Ovis aries: one gene and its partners. The protein of the gene in region 1 interacts with the protein of each later gene in a pairwise test. Links are inferred from orthologs where the notes say so. Each region holds a gene or a part of one and is shown in the gene's direction. Other genes may lie near its edges. The genes, in order: SSC5D, NUP62, NECAB2, SEC23IP and EXOC7.

Region 1 (4,267 bases):
GACCCTAGCAGGAGGAAAAGCAGCACTTAGTGAGCACCTGCTGTGTGCAGGCACTTCCACACCATCCTTACCCCCCCCCCCCCCCGCCAGGGCCCAGCAGCTGAGGCCCGCAGAGGGCAAGAGACCCTGCCACAGCCTGATGCCCATCCATAGTGTTTGAACTTCTTAGAGAGTTCAACCCGTCCAACCCCTGCCTCAGATTCTGTCTGCGCAGAGAAATCTTATCTGTCTGTCTGCCAAGCCTGTGTTGCTTGTGCTATGACATGTGGCAGGAGAGGAGGCCGAGCAAGTACGCCCCCCACTGGGGTTAGGACTTGGCAGGGGTACCCCAAACAGGGACGAGGGCCCCCCTCAGCCCCGGGGAGGTAGGGTGGGGGGCGATGCCCATGCTTGGAAGGGGTGAGGCTGCAGAGGCAGAGAGGGGCTGAGCAAAGCTTCTGCAGGGGAGTGTTGTCTGCCTGGAGAGAGCCCCGGGGAGGGGGTGGTGGGCACAGGGCTGCCTGCCCAGCCCCTCCCCAGGAAGGTGGGAGCCCAGAGGGGCGGCCAGACCCATCTGGTTTTTTACACCCGTTTGTTAATAAAGCCTGTAACCGCTGCTCGCCATCTCTCTCTGATGCCTTTTCCAGTCTGCCTCCACACCCACCATTTCTGTCTGGCCCCTCCTTCCCGAGGTTGACAGTAATTGTCGGGAGGGGGGAGTGTGCTGGACTGGGGGCAGGGGAGGCGATGAGCTCAGGCAGCCCAGCTCCCTGCCAGCCCTCTGACTCACGCTCCCCATTACCGAATTTTTTCCGCCTCACAGCTGCTTAGTGCAGAGAGAGAGAGAGAAAGAGTACGTTCCTGTGCGTGTGTGTGTGTGTTGTGTGTGTGTGTGTGTGTGTGTGCAGTCGTCCTCCCCCACCCAAGTCTTGACCCTTGGCCCTCTCGACCCCTGACCCCAGTTTTCTTGGGAGACACACAGAGGGCTGATGACTTCTGCCTGCAAATCCACCAGGGGGAATGGAGAAGGGAGTCTCTCTGTCTCCTTTCCCAGTCCAGGAAGTCCTTCCTGGTGTCTGCCTGCAAGCCCTCTTGCTGCACCAGGTCCCCAACCCGGCAGCTGATGTGAGCCCACCCTCAAAGCCCTCTGCTTCCGGCACACCACCCTGGCGGGACAGGAGAAGCAGCAGATGGGTGGGCGCCCCGCCCTCGCACCCTGTCAGGATCCTCCCCTGCAGCCTGCTGCCCCCCAAGCCTGAGTGCGGCACTTCTGGCCAGCCGGCTGTCTCCTGTGTGGGTGTCTGCAGTTGGACACCCTCCCTCCCGCCCTCCACCGCCCTCCTCCACAGGCCTCAGCCGCCGGCCAGCCCCCTCCCCGCCCCGCTCCTGTCCCCTGCTGCCTCCTCGGCAGCCTCTCTTCCTCCTGCAGAGCGTCCAGCCCCCGCCCGCTCCTCCCCGGGTCCAGGGCTCCTCTGGCAGGCGCTCCCCTCCCTCCTGCGTCGGCGGTCCCCTCCTCCTAGCTCCTGCTCCCGTCCACTTCCACCCTGTCCCCACCCTGACTCTGCAAACATGAGGGTCCTGGCCTGCCTCCTCGGTGAGTGACCCTTCCCCTCCTCCGGGACTCAGGGTCCCCGGGCCGGGCCCTCTGACCCCTGAGCTGACCCACTGCAGAGCCTCTGAGTTCCAGGGCCCCGTCCCTGTTGCTTGGTGGGGGGGATGTGGGGGAGCACAGGACATCTGGCTGCCTCTGACTGATCCTCCAGGGACCTGGCCTCAGGCACCCTGAGTCCCACCTTCTCAGGAGACCCCAGGACTTCCTCTCCCCTCCATGAGCCCTGACCCTGCAGAGGGGGTTCACCCATCATTCACCTTTAGCCAGGCCCCCAGTGGGGAGAGCCAAGGGCCTGGCCCCCTGCCCAGACCTGAGGCCTCCGGGCTCCACCCATCCCAAGGACCTGGGCCTCGGCCAGGCGCTGGGCCCAAGTCCTCCTTCCCGGCGGCGGGGTTTCTGGTTCAGAGGAGCGAGGACCTCACTGCCTCACCCCTCCAACCTCCCTTCCAGTGGCTTTGATGGGGACCCAGGCTGTTGGTAAGTGGCCCCAAACACGTCTCCCATCTGGGTGCGCTCAGCTCCAAGCCTTCCCCACGCCCGGCCTGGGCTCACCCTCCCTTGGACCCTGGCCACCCTCGTGTGCCCACGACCCCCACACCACTTCTGCAGGACCACACGGTCACCCAGCTTCCTGCTTCCTAAGGGGCTCCCGGTCATGCCCCTGCAGGACAGCCCCCAGCCCCTGCCCTGCCCGCCAGTCCCGGGGTCTCCAGGATGTCACAGCCTCTCCTCCGTCCCTGCAGAGCGGCTGCGTCTGGCTGATGGGCCCCATGGGTGTGCGGGCCGCCTGGAGGTGTGGCACGGTGGGCGCTGGGGCACCGTGTGCGACGACGGCTGGGACCTGCGGGACGCTGCTGTGGCCTGCCGGGAGCTGGGCTGCGGGGGTGCGCTGGCCGCCCCCGGGGGCGCCTTCTTCGGGGAGGGTGCGGGGCCCGTGTGGCTGAGTGAACTGGCCTGCCGGGGTGGGGAGCGGCAGCTGGGCCTCTGCTCCCACCGGGGCTGGAAGGCCCACATCTGCTCACACGAGGAGGATGCGGGGGTCGTCTGTGCAGGTAAGGGGTCCTCAACCTCCTCAACGCCCAGGGACCCTCAGCCCAGTAACTAACTCTGAGCATCCAGAAGTCCAGACACCCTACCCCTGCCTCACTGAGAGACTGCCCTCTCCATAGCACTGGGGTGTTAGACGGTGGGTGTTGGAAGAACATCCTCCAAACTCTTTGGAAGGAACTTTGAGATTGATAAAGCTGGCAGCTCTGTAAAGGACAACTATGAAGTTTATCATGAACTCACACGGGGAACTCAGACAGGATGGATCTTGCAGATGGTGAGCCAGAGTTATTTATTTGCACCTGTGCTTCCCCCCACCTAAAGAGGTGCAGGAAGACTTAAAGGGGCCAGAGCAGGTCTGCACAGACTGGAACGGGGGATTGTCCCTTCCCTCAGGGGGTCTCATGACTATTATTTCTCATGGGCCACTTATCAACTGTGTCAGCAAAAAGCATCTGTCTTCAGAGAGAGGAAAGCAAGGGTAAAAACTGATAGGGAACCTACTTGGCTTGGGTGAAACTCAGCCATGCCAGGCAGGGTGGGGTGGGGGCGACCCGGGCCTGAGACGGGCCCACAGGAGGGAGCGTGGCCTCCAGCAACAGGCTGCTGTCCCCAAGGCCAGCGTGGGACAGACTCCAGGGACCACGACGACCCACCTTCAGTCCTGGATGGGGACCCCTGGCCGGGACCGGCAGGGGAGCTGAGCGCCGGCTCTGAGGAGCCCCCAGTGACACCTGGTGAGCCCCTTCCTGTGCTCTGGCTCCTGCTTTGGCCGTGAGGGAGAAGGGACAGAGGCCTGACTCCTCCACCCTCCCCGGGCCCCCGGTGATGCCCCCTTCAGACCCTTGGGGACTCTCAGGACTGACCTACAGCCCCAGGTTCAGCTGCCAACCGCCCTCCCTACTGTCCCCCTCCTCACCTAGCCCCCCGCCCAGCCGGGACCCCCCAGAGTGGCTCCCGGAAGAAAAGCCCCCGGCTGCCCAAGCCGGCCAAATCCACCAGGGCCCCAGTGCTGACTGCCGGAGCCCCCCGCCAGGGTAAGTCCGAGGCAGGCCTTCCATCTGCAGCAACTCCAGAAGGGGTCAGGCCCTAGGCCCCCCAGACCAAACTGGGGACCCTCAGGTGCAGGGTAGGGGGGCACCATGTCCCCGGGGATTCAGCCAGGTCCAGGCTCCCTGCCTGGTCAGTAGACCACTCGTGGCAGGCCCCCAGGCCCCGTGCCCTGTCCAGACCCTGACTTTCTGCCACTGGCCGGCTGGCAGGCTGATCTCAGTCCCCTGACCGCACGGGGCCTCCGTTTTCCCAGACGGAAAACGAGAGTGTACCAGCCGCCTCCACTAGGCCCCTCACAGCTCCCCCTCCTGCCCGCTCCGCAGAACGGCTGCGCCTGGTCTCCGGCCCCCACGGGTGCGCCGGGCGCCTAGAGGTGTGGCATGGTGGGCGCTGGGGCACCGTGTGCGACGACGGCTGGGACCTGCGGGACGCTGCCGTGGCCTGCCGGGAGCTGGGCTGCGGGGGCGCCCTGGCCGCCCCTGGGGGGGCTCGGTTCGGCCCGGGCGCGGGCCCCGTGTGGATGGACGATGTGGGGTGCGGAGGCGGAGAGCAGGCCCTGAGAGACTGTCCCCGAAG
Region 2 (2,696 bases), about 6.8 Mb from region 1:
CGGGGGCAGCACGCTCAGCAGTGCCGTCTCCAGCGCCAGCACCAGCACCTCCGCCCAGGGCGCGGCACCCGGCGGCTTTGTGTTTGGCTCCACCGCAGCATCTGCCGCCCCGCCCACCACATCGACTTCCGGGGGCTTCTCGTTCACGGCTGGGAGCGCATCCCAGACTGGGACCTCTGGCTTCAACATAGGCTCCATGGGGGGCCCGGCCCAGTCCCCAGCCCTCAGCGGGCTGCCCTTCACTGCGGCCGCTCCAGCGGCCACTGGAGCAGGAGCCGCACAGCCAGCCGCGCCCACTCCCGCCGCCACCACCACCACCGCCAGCGCCGGGCCCTCGCTCTTCACCTCGCTGGCTACTGCTCCCACGTCGTCCGCCGCCACCGGGCTCTCCCTTGGCACCCCAGCGACCACCACGGGGACAGCAGGAGCGGGGACACTGGGCTTCAGCCTGAAGGCCCCTGGAGCAGCTTCCACCACCTCCACGGCGACAACCACCACCACCACCACCACCACCACCACCACCACCAGCACCAGCACCACTGGCTTCTCCCTGAACATAAAGCCCCTGACTCCGGCCGGGATCCCCAGCAACACAGCGGCCTCCGGGAGTGCGCCCAGCGGTCCCAGCGTGGCTGCCGGGGGATCCGGCAGCGCTGCGCTGACCTACGCCCAGCTGGAGAGTCTCATCAACAAGTGGAGCCTGGAGCTGGAAGACCAGGAACGGCACTTCCTGCAGCAGGCCACGCAGGTCAACGCCTGGGACCGCACGCTGATCGAGAACGGCGAGAGGATCACCAGCCTCCACCGCGAGGTGGAGAAGGTGAAGCTGGACCAGAAGCGGCTGGACCAGGAGCTCGACTTCATCCTGTCGCAGCAGAAGGAGCTGGAGGACCTGCTGAGCCCGCTGGAGGAGTCGGTCAAGGAGCAGAGCGGCACGGTGCACCTGCAGCACGCAGACGAGGAGCGCGAGAAGACCTACAAGCTGGCCGAGAACATCGACGCGCAGCTCAAGCGCATGGCCCAGGACCTCAAGGACATCATCGAGCACTTGAACACATCGGGGGGCCCGGCCGACACCAGCGACCCGCTGCAGCAGATCTGCAAGATCCTCAACGCGCACATGGACTCGCTGCAGTGGATCGACCAGAGCTCGGCGCTGCTGCAGAGGAAGGTGGAGGAGGTGACCAAGGTGTGCGAGGGCCGGCGCAAGGAGCAGGAGCGCAGCTGCCGCATCGCCTTCGACTGAGCCCGGGCGGGGCTTACTGCCTCGTGGTTGGAGTGCGGGGAAATACGTGTTTGTGTGTTTCTGGCTTTCAAACAGTTGTGCTGTTAATAGAACTGTTCTCTGGTTTGACTTTTTGTCTTAGTGAATAGAAAGTATTCTCAGTGCTCTGGGCCAGGCTGCAGCCTCGTGGGTATGCTTTCTCCATGTCCTAGACCCTTTCCACCTGCTACAACCACCCGCCTCCAGTTGTGCTGGAGGAGGGCTGAGCCACCAGAGAGCCGCCTGTCTCCCAGCCGAGACGCTAGGCCGCCACTCTGCCCGGCAGAGTCAGAGATGCGGGGAGGAGAGCTCCAGCCTCACTGAGCCAGCCGCCTGGAGTGAGTGAGCAGTGCAGAGAAGTGGCTTGTGGGTGGAGCGGACAGTGGGACGTTCTCAGAGGAGGAGAGACAGGTCAGAAGAGAAGAGCAGTCTCCCCTCGCCTGGCTGACACACCGCGTCGGCCACCCTAAAGCCAGGTCGGTGCTGTCCCGTGGGCCCACTCCACGCTGAGCTTGCGAGCGCGCCTTTGGTAACACTGGCCACACAAGACTGCAGACTCCTCGCTTCTCAGCCTCACCGAAAGGTTGTGCACCCTGTGGGCAGGGCTTGTTTCCTGTCCCCCTTGTGTGCTCAGCACAGCAGTCCCTGTCACAGCATCAAACAGATGAAGAGTAGAGATGAGACCGGCATAAAACGCTCGCCCGCCGAATGAATGCCTGTGGAGGTGGCCAGGGTGCCAGGGGCAGCCACAGACTTGATTCTGCACCTCCCGGAGTCGAGACAAACCTGGCTGGTTCCAATGAGATCCAGTGTCCAGGGCCAGCCGTGTCCCAGGGGTCTTCTGTGTTTGTCTTTACACTCTGCTGTACTCTGAAATACCTATAGCTGTATGTTGCTTCCCTAAATAAAATGTATTGTGGAATTTAAAAGCTGCTGTTTCTGTGGATAACTTAGAAGGAGAAGGTTGGGAAAAGAGTAGGTTCCAGGTCATGCTTGTGGGGGAAGGCGCTCAGCTCTTGCTCGTGGCACAGGGCAGGAAGTCTGCCCTCTGGCCTCCCTTGGCTCGCGCACACTGAGCTGTGTTTTGGCTCTGGAGTGCCCAGGGCTTATTCCTGCACATACATGGTCCACTTTGCCAAAGTCATGACCATGAGTCATTTCCTCAGGTCATCTTGGACTTCTAGAGACCACTGTCTCATCCAAGCGGAAGCCGCGGAAGAGAGGGGGGAACAAACCAGAGGCGGGAGACCCCAGCAACCCCAGTTGCTTCTCCAAAGGCTCTACCCCCTGCGACAGTGGCCCTCTGTAGTCTGGGAGCCGTGACCCCATCCGGTACCCGTATCCCACCCCCTTGAGTCCCCTTAGGAAGTAGGAAGTAGTATTTTACCTACATGTATTCACTCAGCATCCATCTTTGGAGCACTCGCTACAC
Region 3 (4,031 bases), about 53 Mb from region 1:
AGTGTTTGGAGAAGGAAATGGCAACCCACTCCAGTATTCTTGCCTGGAGAATCCCATGAACGGAGGAGCTTGGTGGGCTACAGTCCACGGGTCGCAAAGAGTCGGACACGACTGAGAGACTTCACTTTCACTTTCACTTCCAGTATCTGGCTCCACCCACTTGGCTGTAAGCTCCAGGAGGCCAAGGCAAGCCCTCCTGTTTTCCCGATGTTCTTGGAACCCAGTGCGGCCACCAGGCCTAGCACCCAGCAGGGGCTCCTTTAATTCTCTGGTTCGGTGGGTGGGAGTCTGGAAGGATGGACGCAGGGAGTATAAGGGGAAGAGGGTGTTCCAGGGGTGGGGAACACTAGTTCTGGGCGTTGTTTAACTCGCGGGGGAGGTCTGAGGGGCGTGCACCCGGTGGAAGGGACGAGTGGGTACTTGCGGAGTGGAGAAGGCCCCAGTGCGTGGGCGCGCGTTCCTTGGGCTGCAGCCGGCAGAGGGCGCTACCGGCTCGCCGGACACAGCGCTCCGGCCCCGGCGGCGGCGCCACGGAGTGGAGGAGGGGGGATTCTTCTGGAGGGCGGGCAGGGGGAGACTTTCGGAATGGGGGCAGCCCCCAGGGATGCACCCCCGAAGCCAGACCCCCAAAACCCCGCGCCTGCCAGGCAGCCCCCTCCGTGGCCGGGCCGGGGTCTAGCTCCCCAGCCCCGCGGCCCACTGCCGGCAGCCCCCTGCCGCCGCGCCCGGCCGCCGGGGGCGGGGGCGGTGGCCCACGGGGCACGTGGCTCCGGGTCCGGGCGGGGCGGCGCCCACCCCCTCCCGTCCCCCAGCGCCGGCCCGTCCCCGCGTGGCCGCGGCCGCGGGGGCAGAGGGAGGGAGGGCGGGGCGCGGGCGGCGGCGGCGGGCGGCGCCGGGGAGGGGGTCGCGCGGGGGCGGGCCGCGGGCCGGGCGGGGGTCGGCGGGCTTCCGGGCGGCGGCGGCGGCGGGCGCGGCGCGATGTGCGAGCGGGCGGCGCGCCTGTGCAGGGCCGGCGCGCACAGGCTGCTCCGGGAGCCGCCGCCGCAGGGCCGGGCGCTGGGCGGGCTGCTGCGCTGGGTGGGCGCCAGGATGGGCGAGCCCCGGGCGCCGCTGGCCCCCGACGCCCCCAACACCCCCGTCGCGGACCCCGGCCCCTACCCGGGCCCCGCCTCGCCGCGCGGGGGCACCGCCGTCATCCTGGACGTGAGTACGCGCGGGCCGGGACCCGTTCTCCCCACCGGGCGACGCGGACGCCACGCTCCCGGGACCCCGCTGGGACCTGCAAGACCCCCTTCTGCTTGAGGGGCAGGGGTCCCCGGGCAGGGACGCTGGCCCGCACCCCGGGGGTCCAGAGCGGGATCCACCGGCTCCTCCTTGTGCAGAGCGCGGCCCCCAGCTCTTCGGCCCCCGGGCCGGTCTCCGTGCGGGTCCCGTCTCGTCCCCGGACCGGGACGACCCCTTTACCTCCCTCCCCTTCTCGGGATCTCCACATTCTCGGAGCCGGGACCCTGGAGCCCCTCGACCCGGCCACCGCCCCCTACTTCTGTCCTGGCCAAACCCTCATCTTTCTCCAGCCCGCGCTTCATCCTTCACCCAGCTCCTTCCCGGGACGCGAGTCCCAGACCGCCGTCGGCCCCTGCTCCTGCCCGCCCCACCGACCCCTGCCCCCCGTCCTTACTTTTCTAAGACTCTCCCCCCAACCCACCCCATCACACACACAATCCCTGGGTCCAGGGCCATTTTTCTTGTCCGAGCTTTGGACCTTAAGCCCTTGTATCCTCAACCCTTTTGCCTCAGGCACCACCTTTTTAAAAGCAAAGCCCCCTCCCCACCTGCCTTCCTCTCTCCTTTCAGTAGGACTGGAGCCATCCCCCATCCTCTCTGAGGACCACCACTCCATTCTGAGCCAGTCCTTGATCCCCTTCCCCCGCTCCCCCCTCCCTCTCCCTCTCCTCACCCCTCCCTCTCCCTTTCCTCACCCCTCCCCCTGCTCACCCCCTCCCCTTTTCACCCTCTCTCCTCCTCACCCCCACTCCGCACCCCTCCCCCACGTCCTCTGGAGCCCAAACCGCCCCACCTCACCCTCCCACCCACTCTCCTCTGTAGGAGGGAGCCTTCTGCAGGGTGGGGGGGCGTCCCCCGTGGGGTGCTCTGCCCACCCCAAGGGGCAGCATGGCAGTGGGGTGTGCCTGTCCTAGGGAGGGTCCTCCGAGGTGGGTGACACGGGGCTGGGGGTGCCATGTTTATGTATGGTGGGTGGGTTTCAGGGAGAGGTGTGTGTATCACATCCTGGTGAGAGGGGGACAGTGTGGGTTTCCTCTCGCCCCTCCACCCCCACCACGTTCCTGTTGGAGCCTCCATCGCTGGCTCTCAGCCGACAGGGCAGGGGGTGATCTGCCGCACGTGGCCATGGCTCCCAGGCTTCCCAGAACGTGCTCACACACAGCCCACTCGCACCTGCACAGGTGAGCCCTCTCAAAGCCCCAGTGAGTTCGCAGCTGAAAGCCCTTGCAGCGGACAGCTCTGTCCAGGCCCCCCCCCTTTTGCACAGGACAGGACGTGGACTCTGGAGTCCTCACGCCACGCTGCTGGCTCTGAGCCCCAGTCTCCTCATCTGTGAAATGGGGGTGATGAGCGAGTGCCAGGGCCACATCTCCTGTCAGGTCAGTCACTTTAACGCTCACCCCCGGCCCCGGCACCTGAAGGTGGGACTCCAGCCTCCTCGGGAACCTTGCAGTCAGGAGCAGGCAGTGTGCGGTGCACAAGCTGGGGTGCTGGCAGCTGCCCCCTTTTCTGCCCCAGCTGCTCCAGACCTGTGTCCCCTGCCCCAACTTGGGGTTCAGCTCAAGAAAGGGGGAATGTTTGAGAATATCTTTCCTGAGCTGCTGCTTCAGTTTGTCACAGCCCGGGTGCCTGACAATGGATGCCTGCCCTACTGCTTGGAGGGAGGGGCCCAGCTCCCGCTCTCCAAGGTGTGAGGGTCACACGCTGGGGGCGGCGTCTCCCCCTCTTCCTACCTTCAGCAAGGCTTGCGTGCACGCGTGCTAAGTCACTCAGAAGGGTCCGACTCTGCGACCCCATGGACTGTAGCCTGCCAGACTCCTTTGTCCATGGAATTCTCCAGGCCAGATACTGGAGTGGGTAGCCTTTCCCTTCTCCAGGGGATCTTCCTGACCCAAGGATCGAACCCAGGTCTCGCACATTGCAGGTGGATTCTTTACCATCTGAGCCACCAGGGCAGCCCCCAGCAAGGCTTACTAGGACTAAAAACACCAGGAGGAGCTATCTGGTTTCAGCTGCAGCTGGAGGGGACCAGGCTGCCCCTTCCCTCCCCGCCTCTCTTTCTGAGCTGCTTGCGGGCTGCTCCTACCCACTGACCACCCCCAAAAAACTAATCCCGCCGTGCACTGGCTGATCCTGTCGTCAGGCCTCGAGGTTTGCTTGGCAGATGCCTCTGTTCAGATTTAACCCACCCTCCCTGGAGAACACCAGGCCCTCGAGAGGTCCTAGTGGGGGTGTAAGGTGAGTGGCTGCCTCCCACGGACGGGAGTGGGGAGCACGCAGCCGCCTGTGGGTGCTGCACGTGGGCCAAAGGTTCTGGACACACACCCGTGCGGCGTGCTCTCGACCGCATGGCCAGCAGCGCCTGAGGAAGAGGGGAGGCTGTCTCCTCGAGGGGAGCTGGAGGGCCACTGCCTGAAACACCCTTCCACCCCCGGGTCTCCTCCCTCAGGAGGGAAAAGGGGCCCGGCTTCCGCAGGTCCACTGGGCTGGGGGTGTTGGAAGCCTGCCCCTCCCAGCCGACACTGACTCGACCTCTCTTCTCTGCAGATTTTCCGCCGTGCGGACAAAAACGGTGAGTCTTCCCACACCCCGCGAGGCTGTCCCCGTGTGAGGACCTGGCTCTTTCTGGTTGGGGGTGCAGGACGCTGCCCTGCGCCTGTTTCTCCATCCTACGAGGGACCCCTGTGGTTCCTACTGAGCAGGGGAGCCATGCGGCTTCAGCGGGCAGGTGTGGGCAGTGCGGTGAG
Region 4 (4,104 bases), on another chromosome or scaffold:
CCACAAGGTCTTAAGTGAGGAAGGCCACTTTCCAAGTTCAAGTTACCTCCTGACAAGTCAGGTGTTCTGATCTTACACACTGATTCCCGGTTGGGTTTGCCTCCACCACTCCTGAGTGCAAAAGACATGCGGGGTGGGGCCAAAATGCCTAGTGAACGGCAACCAGACCTAAATTTTTCTTTGTGTACCCTACCCGAAAAGTGTCATTAACCATGACTGCAAGTGAAATTTCCTGAGCTTGCCTGCCACATGCTAAGCTCTTTCTATGCAGGAACGCATCTGAGTTCGTTCACCATTTCTTGCTAGCTCTGGCCCAAGAGGAGATGGGGAGACGAGACATGTTTTAAAGGTGTCCTAACGGAAAAAAATCTAAGTTATCACACGAAATCTTATCTCGAAAAAGGAGGATGTGTGTAACCCAGGAGTTACAGCCAACTTCTGCAGCGAGCGAGCAAGCACGCGAGCACTCCCCCCACACACCGGAAGTTTTGAAATGTCCTGCGGGCTTCCCATAGGCAAAGTGCTTTTCCCTTCAGCACATCTCTGCGGGTCCTCCCGAAAGGTTCGAGGACCCCCCAACCCCAGAGTCCGGCCGCACGCGGGGCTCAGGGTCCGCCCGCGGGGCCACGAAGGGGGAAGCGAGGCCGTCAATCACGGCCGGCAGCCGGCTCCTGGCGCCGTAACCTTGGTGGCTCGGGAGTCGCGAATCGGGCAGGTGGGAGGCACCTGCGGCCCGGGCCCGGGCAGCCGCGGCCCGGACTCTCCGGGCGGGAGGGGGTTGCCGAGCGCCGGCGGCGCAGGCCCGGCTGACCGTCTCGGCCGCTCGAGCCCTCGAGGCGGCCCCGCCTGGGCGCCGCGCGGCAGGGTCCGGGCCCCGGGGGCTCGGTGAACTCGGCGGCCCGCCCGGACCCCGCCCGCCCCCCGGGCGCCGCCACTCACCGAAGAAGCCCTGCACGATGCCCAGCGGGTGGCTGAGCCAATCCTCCCCACAGGGCATCTCGCCGACTGGCCGGAGCCGGCGCGGCCCGGGCGTCCCGCGCGCCTCTGCTCCTCGTCGGGGGCTCGGCCGCTCCTCGCCCGCGCCCTCCCACGCAGGGAAAGCCTCGCGGCGCGGGCCGCCTGGCCTCCCCGCGCCTCAGGGAACGGCGGCGGAGGCGGCGGCTGTGAGGCGCTGCCGGCCACGGGCAGGCGGCGCGTGCGGGCCCCCAGCCTCCACTTCGCACAATGGCGGGAAATAGGCGCCGCCGCCGCCGACCGCGCTGCCGGCGACCTGGGTGGAGCTCGTGCGGGGAGGGGCGGCGGGAGCGCGCAGCGCGGCCCCGCGGCGGGGAGGCGGGGCGGCCTTGCTCCGGGGAGAGGGGGTGGGGCTCGGCGGGGCGGGGCCGCGGCGGCAGGGCGGTCGCCATCTTGGAGACGGGCGAGGGGAAGGGCAGGGGTGGCCTCGCGAGCATGCCGCGTGGTTACTTGAGGGCTGCATATTGCTCGGTGTCCCTCTGCAGACTCCAAAGGAGAAACTCCCGATGTCTGGTTTATCTGTTTATAGTGGCGAGGCCTTGCGCAGGTCGGAGACCGCAACAGTCCAAGAGCACAAGCGCAAAGAGACCTCAAAGTTATCTCTGGGCAAAATTAGAAGGTAACGTTGCCTCTGGTGTCTGCCCACCTCGTCCCGCCTCTTAGTGGTTTTTTTTTTTTTTTTTTTTTGGCCAATGGCAACTCTTTTGTTTGGTTCCGTGCTAGAAACCCCCTGTAATGACTTTCCTCCACTGGATCAAGTCTTCCCTCGACTGGATCAAGACAGTGGTATCTGTACACAGAAAAGATCTGGTTAATAGTAACCTTTGAATGAGGAAATTTGGAAAATATCCAAGTTCTATAATGAAACAGCCCCTAGATCTGAAATATATCGGAAAAAACCCTCCCTCTCATAACCTGAAGTACAGCGTATTAACAGAAGGATGATCCGAATGCGATCATCTCCACTCCCTAAAAAGTGAGGAGCTGGAGAACTGAACTCGGATCTCAAGCCCTCCTTAGGGCAAAAGGGTTTATTTTGTATCTGTCACTGTGAACTAATTACATTCCTCTGAATCTGGTGGGCAAGGCTGGTTGAATACCCGGATGTGGAAACTGAAGCTATGGAGACCTGATCACGCAGAGTCGTCTGTACTATTTCGTACCATTTTACATAAGAAACTCTGGCATTCAGATATCTGTTCCTGGAACCAATTCCCTGCAATTGATACCAAGGGATGACTGTGATTGGCATATTATACTATACATCTGGCTCTTGTGAGTTTGGGTGAGCTGAGAAAACGGTTTCAAATCGTTGGCATTACTACTTTCATTCATTCATTTAGCTTAGAAGGGCTCGAGATTCCTGGTATTGAATAGAGAAATCTCCTATTTAGCTTTGTGACATACAATCTTTTAAATTATAATAATTTCAATTTGCTGTATATGAAATTGCAGCTGGACACCAATTCAGCAGTGGCTAAGAACACTTCAGCTTTTGGTTTCTCCCTCTGTAGTCAGTGATTTGTAGACAATTGTTCAGATTTAACTTTAAGAGACACTGTGATCCTACTGAAATAATGTGAATAATTTCACCCAAGATGTTTTGACACTACTAATGAGTGGTTATGAAAACTTAAAAGGCCAAGGGAAGGTCCATAAGAGTATTTCTCTATGGCAAGATTTTTTTTCCCACTGCTGGCAATCACACTTCCCCCACTCTCAAGTCTGTATTTTTAAGAAAGGCATTAAGGACTTCTGTGATGGTCCAATGGTTAAGAATTTGTTTTCCAATGCAGGGGACCCAAGTTGATCCTTCGTGGGAAACTAAAATTCCACATGCTGAGGGGCAACTAAGCTGGTGGGCTACAACTACTGAGCCCACGCACCCTAGAGCCTGTGTTCCACAAGAGAAGCCCCCCTGGACTGCAACAAAGACCCACTGCCTTCATGTTATGTCCAGTTCAGTGAGAGACTTATTACTGAATAATTATCCATTTACAACCATGATAGGTACCAGGAAAGAAAAAGTGAAGTTCTATAAAAGGATTGAATAGCACCATCTAGTCTAGTGAGGGAGGGTTTTGGGGAAAGGATCCTTCAGGGGTTTCCTGAAAATGTGACATTTTTCACTGGGACTTGAAAGATAAGTAAGAGTTAGCTAGGTGAAAAGCGTGAGGGAAAGTTATTCCAAGTCTTAAGGCAAGGAAAACAAAAACTTGAATAGAAAATTAAGAGTCACAATTTATGTCAGGACAAAGCTCTCAAGAGTATTTAACAGCATAATAATGTTAAATTAGAATATTTATCTAAGCAACATTATAATTTAACTTTAGGAAGCTAAGGGTATGAGGATGTATAGGATTCATATATGTGATAGGATAAAGAAGATTTAAACCTCATCTTAAACCTGGGAAGTCAACACACAATTCAAAGGAGAAAAAAAGGAAAACTCAGAAGTGACAATATAATATTAATTTTAAAATACAGAGATACTGAAACAATCAGCGGAAAGAATTGAATGTCGTTGCCTCCAGGATGGGGTAAAAGTTTCTTGTAAACATTTGCTTATTTTCTGTATACTTAGCATGAATTCAACCTCAGCTGCACTGAAATTTCCACTAGATTATGAGAACTTTGAAGCAGTGATTTTGGTATTTTTATGCTGTATTGTTCCCAAGTACCTAGAACAGTGTCTGACGTCATAGATGTGCAATAAATAGTTGCTGAATGGATAATGCATACTTTCCATTAAGTGCCTAAATCTCCTTTCTAAATAGGCACATTGAGTATGTTTTAATTAATTAATTATAATTTTGGCTGCTCTGGGTCTTCATTGTGGCAAGCGGGGGCTCCTCTCTCGTTGAGGTGGGTGGGCTTATTGTGGTGGCTTCTCTTGTGGTAGAGCGCAGGCTCTAGTGTGTGCAGGGTCAGTGATTGTGGGCTTAGCTGCCCCGTGGCATATGGAATCTTCCTGGAACAGGTATCAAACCTATGTCCCCTGCATTGGCAAGCGAATTCTTCACCACTTCCCCAGGGAAGTCACATCAGATATTTTTCATACATTATTTTCCCAAAGTCCTTTGTCCTATT
Region 5 (3,513 bases), on another chromosome or scaffold:
TCAAAGGCCTGAAGGAGCATTTCCGGAAGAGCAGCTCTTCCTCTGGGGTCCCCTACTCCCCTGCCATCCCCAACAAGAGGAAAGACACACCCACCAAGAAGCCGGTCAAGCGGCCAGGTGAGCACCCCCCCACCGGCCCACCTCGGAACCATCCCGAGGGCCACCTGGGACCTGGGTTGCCCAGGCCCACCCTGGGGTGAGCAGCGTCAGCCCCTTTAGAGCTTGTCCTCACAGTACCCCTGACCAAGGTACACGGGACAGAAAGCAGGTGTCTGCCCACCCAGCAAGGCCTGGTCCAGTGAGCTCCTTTCTCGCGAGTCTGGGGGCTGTATAAGGATCCTTGGAGCAGTGGGTCACAGGCCTGGAGAGGTGAGGTGACGGGTGCAGGGGCAGCCACTCGCTGGGCGCCCTTGGCCTGTCTCCGTCGTCTTGTGTAAAGGCCAGGCCTGCTGCCGCCACCAAAACTGTGGAATGGGACAGGGGCAGGCGCGGTGGCCTTCACCTTCCAGGAAGCCCAGGCTGCTTGACCTGATGCATAGTTAAGAAGTAGAGAGGGGAGAGTGCTCTTTCACAGTCCATCCATCCAGAAAGAAAAAAAAAATCTCAGGCCATCCTCGCCGAAGGACACAGTCGGGCTTTTGGGTTCCACTCGAAGCTTGTGTCTGGCCATGGGGACTCGGGGGAGGGTTGTTGAGGGGGGAGAGGCCTGGGCTGCAGGTGTCCTGGGCGAACAGCTCACTGTCTGGCCTTCTTCCCGTCATCGTGTGCCCCGTGGTCTGTGCTCCGGATAAACAGTGTTCCCGCGTGCCATCTTCCGCTTGGCAAGCCTAGCTGTGTCTAGCCACTGAGAGGTGTTGCCCTTGAGAGGCTGGGGTCTTCCGGGGTGAGGGACCACTGCAGACCCCAGGGAGAGAGAGAGAGCACGTGAGGCCAGGGGCTGTTCCCGCCTCAGCCCACCTGGTCCAGCTGCTGTTGCCTCATGTGCCCAGAGGCACCGGTGGGACCGTCCTTCGTGACAGCGCTTTCCTTCCCTGCCCCTCAGGGAGCAGGGTTGCCTGTTCACAGTTGCCCTGAAAACCCGCTGCTCCTCAGGCCTTGGTTCAGGATTTGGAGACACGGCAGAGCAGAGGCTGCCCGCAGGCAGGGCACCAGTGGGCAGGGCGGGAGGGAAGCCAGGGGCCCTTCCCCCCACCAGTGTGGATGTCCTGGCCACCCCCCCGGGAGAACTGGCCGCAAACAGGGACTCTAGTAAGGCTGCCTGCATGGCCACAGCCGCCTGCCACACGGGCCTTTCCGTCTCTGCGCCTTAGCTCAGTGAGGCTGTGGGGCTTCTTGGGCCTCGGCAGGCCTGCGCTCTCCTCCCCTCTGTCTCTTCTCCGACGGGCACCCCAGGACCCAGACTGCATCCAGGAGCACTGCTGGCCCTGCAGGGGAGCCGGGGTCTGACCTCGGTGCTCCTGCTGGACCTAAAGCAGCCTTGACTTCGAGCCTGCCAAAAGGACGGCTGTAACTGTGAGGGTCCCTTTGGTTTCTGTGGGGTTTCAAGAGTTGTCAGAAGCTTGGGTTGGGAGGGGCTCAGAACTGATGTCAGAAACTAGGGAGACAGGACCCCAGGATGTGATTCCCAGCTCTTGAGCGAAGCTGGGCGGTGCGGTGGGTAATGAAACACTGACCCTGGCATCATCCGAGGTAGTTGGGCACTTGATGGGCTTGGTGGCTGCCAGATCAATGTCCCCAGCCCACATCCACGTGGACGTGCTGGTGAGGCTCCTGAAGGCTGCGTGGGCCCATCTGCTCCCGCTTGTCCGTGCGGCAGGAAACCGATTCACTCATTAGTGGGGCCGCTCGCTGAAGAACATGGCGAGACAGATGCTGAACCGGAGCCCTGAATTCGGCTGTTAGTAGCTAATTGTGGTTGGTGCGCACAGAGAGAAATGTCCTGCCTCCCCCAGCCTTTTGGGGAGCTGCCAGGACCCAAAGCAGCCTCCCTGTGTTCAGAGATGCTGGGGAGGGCACCCAGGAGTCCCCAGGGGAGAGGGACCCGAGTTACCCTCACGGTGCCTGCCCTGCCCCCTGCTTTGTTAACGAGGCAGCTGCACACGTCTGTTTTGAGTGCTGTTTTATTTCCCCCACGTGTTCTGCCCTGAGCTCTCTCGCTCCCGTAGAGGTAGCTGACTTGAGAGGCTGTGGGCACTGCGGCGTTGTCATTGTTCTCACGTGTGATACTAACTGTTGGTTTTTTCCCCCCATGCCAAGAGCATGCCCCCTTTCCTGTGGCCCTCCCGCTCCAGCTCTCTGTGTGGTGGCCTCTGTTAACTTCTCCTCGGCTTTTGAGTCATTCCCAAGAGCTCTGATGGTTCGGGTCCCTGCCCTGGTGTGTGGGCCACTCTGCCTCTGGATCTCCAAGCCTCCCACTGCTGTCCCTGGAAGCCCAGGCCCATTTCGCCACCTCCTGGGTCTCCTGCTTTTGGTGGGCTGCTGCTTGGCCGCTTCTGGCACTGAGCGTGCCCGGAGAGCTTCCCAGAGAGCTCGGCCTGCCCTTGGGAGAGGACCTGAGGGCCTCGAGGTGTCCCCTGGATCACCCTTTCTGGGCTCTAGAGCTCCATGACTTGCTCCTCTGTCCCAGGGCCTATGATCTAAGTGCCACTCAGTACTGTTGTTTTCTTTGTTAATTTTTGGTTCTCCTGGTGGATCTTTGCCCATCTCATCTCCTTCACCCACTGCACTTCCTCAAATGAACTCAGACCCAGAACATGAGGGTCACTGGCAGAACCAGGAGTCTCCTGAAAGAATAAAATGGCTCCATTCCTCTGTCCGGGCGTGCTCACTGCTGGGGGTGGGCGCGGGCCTGGGGGAGAGGGGCCGGTGGAGGGCTGCTGCTGTTTTCTCACTCATTTCCTAGGTCTTCTTGTCTCCTCTCTGTGTGGCTCTGGTGACAGGGACGATCCGTAAGGCTCAGAACCTTCTGAAACAATATTCCCAGCATGGTCTAGATGGGAAAAAGGGGGGCTCTAACCTCATTCCTCTGGAAGGTAATCACCCCGTGTTCCTCTCCAGTTCCCTCCTCCTCCACTGTGTGTCCACTCCCATGGCAGGGCAGAGCCTCCACCTCCCAGACGGCCTCTGGCATAAGCCTGAGAGGGGCAGGGGGCGGGGGGTGGGGTGGGAACTGAGGTCCCTGGGGTCACTGAGCCCCGCTGGCTGGCTCAGGGGCAGCCTTTGTGGTCTTGGCCTAGTCCTGTCTGACTGACGGCGGCTCTGCCCCCCGGGAGGCTTCCTGCCCCCTCCCCATCCTGTCTCTGTCCTTCTTGTCTCCCGTTTGAACTCGGAGAAAGTTCTCTGTCACGGGTAGCCCTTTCACGCTCAGACCAGCAGTGGCAGGACCAAGCTGGCTGCCCCCCGCCACCCCCCACCTTCAGAAAGGGGAGCGTGTGCCGTGGGAGACGGGCAGCCTATGTCCCCCCTGTCTCCCATCAGAGGAGGGACAGCCCTGCCCCAGTGGACCAGATCCGC

The links.
Region 2: the proteins of SSC5D (region 1) and NUP62 interact in binary tests that used the Homo sapiens proteins (3 or more experiments, as listed by UniProt). The two-hybrid records come from large-scale screens. The link is inferred for Ovis aries from reciprocal best matches to the Homo sapiens genes SSC5D and NUP62.
Region 3: the proteins of SSC5D (region 1) and NECAB2 interact in binary tests that used the Homo sapiens proteins (3 or more experiments, as listed by UniProt). The two-hybrid records come from large-scale screens. The link is inferred for Ovis aries from reciprocal best matches to the Homo sapiens genes SSC5D and NECAB2.
Region 4: the proteins of SSC5D (region 1) and SEC23IP interact in binary tests that used the Homo sapiens proteins (3 or more experiments, as listed by UniProt). The two-hybrid records come from large-scale screens. The link is inferred for Ovis aries from reciprocal best matches to the Homo sapiens genes SSC5D and SEC23IP.
Region 5: the proteins of SSC5D (region 1) and EXOC7 interact in binary tests that used the Homo sapiens proteins (3 or more experiments, as listed by UniProt). The two-hybrid records come from large-scale screens. The link is inferred for Ovis aries from reciprocal best matches to the Homo sapiens genes SSC5D and EXOC7.

What each region holds. Positions count from the first base shown.
Region 1 is NC_056067.1:62,800,928-62,805,194, reverse strand, and holds the start of SSC5D (soluble scavenger receptor cysteine-rich domain-containing protein SSC5D), read left to right. Parts: upstream 1-1,456; 5' UTR 1,457-1,548; coding exon 1,549-1,573; intron 1,574-2,041; coding exon 2,042-2,068; intron 2,069-2,334; coding exon 2,335-2,643; exon of another isoform or gene 2,644-2,899; coding exon of another isoform or gene 2,900-2,915; intron 2,916-3,255; coding exon 3,256-3,375; intron 3,376-3,561; coding exon 3,562-3,675; intron 3,676-4,014; coding exon 4,015-4,267.
Region 2 is NC_056067.1:55,979,963-55,982,658, reverse strand, and holds the end of NUP62 (nuclear pore glycoprotein p62), read left to right. Parts: coding exon 1-1,246; 3' UTR 1,247-2,193; downstream 2,194-2,696. UniProt on the Homo sapiens protein: Essential component of the nuclear pore complex. The N-terminal is probably involved in nucleocytoplasmic transport.
Region 3 is NC_056067.1:9,830,571-9,834,601, forward strand, and holds the start of NECAB2 (N-terminal EF-hand calcium-binding protein 2), read left to right. Parts: upstream 1-1,227; 5' UTR 1,228-2,172; coding exon 2,173-2,465; intron 2,466-2,545; exon of another isoform or gene 2,546-2,551; coding exon 2,552-2,663; exon of another isoform or gene 2,664-3,448; coding exon of another isoform or gene 3,449-3,522; intron 3,523-3,831; coding exon 3,832-3,856; intron 3,857-4,031. UniProt on the Homo sapiens protein: May act as a signaling scaffold protein that senses intracellular calcium.
Region 4 is NC_056075.1:39,501,370-39,505,473, forward strand, and holds the start of SEC23IP (SEC23-interacting protein), read left to right. Parts: upstream 1-1,293; 5' UTR 1,294-1,449; coding exon 1,450-1,633; intron 1,634-4,104. Other genes in the region: MCMBP (mini-chromosome maintenance complex-binding protein), read right to left, coding at 940-997. UniProt on the Homo sapiens protein: Plays a role in the organization of endoplasmic reticulum exit sites. Specifically binds to phosphatidylinositol 3-phosphate (PI(3)P), phosphatidylinositol 4-phosphate (PI(4)P) and phosphatidylinositol 5-phosphate (PI(5)P).
Region 5 is NC_056064.1:54,912,912-54,916,424, forward strand, and holds part of EXOC7 (exocyst complex component 7), read left to right. Parts: coding exon 1-117; intron 118-2,939; coding exon 2,940-3,032; intron 3,033-3,513. UniProt on the Homo sapiens protein: Component of the exocyst complex involved in the docking of exocytic vesicles with fusion sites on the plasma membrane.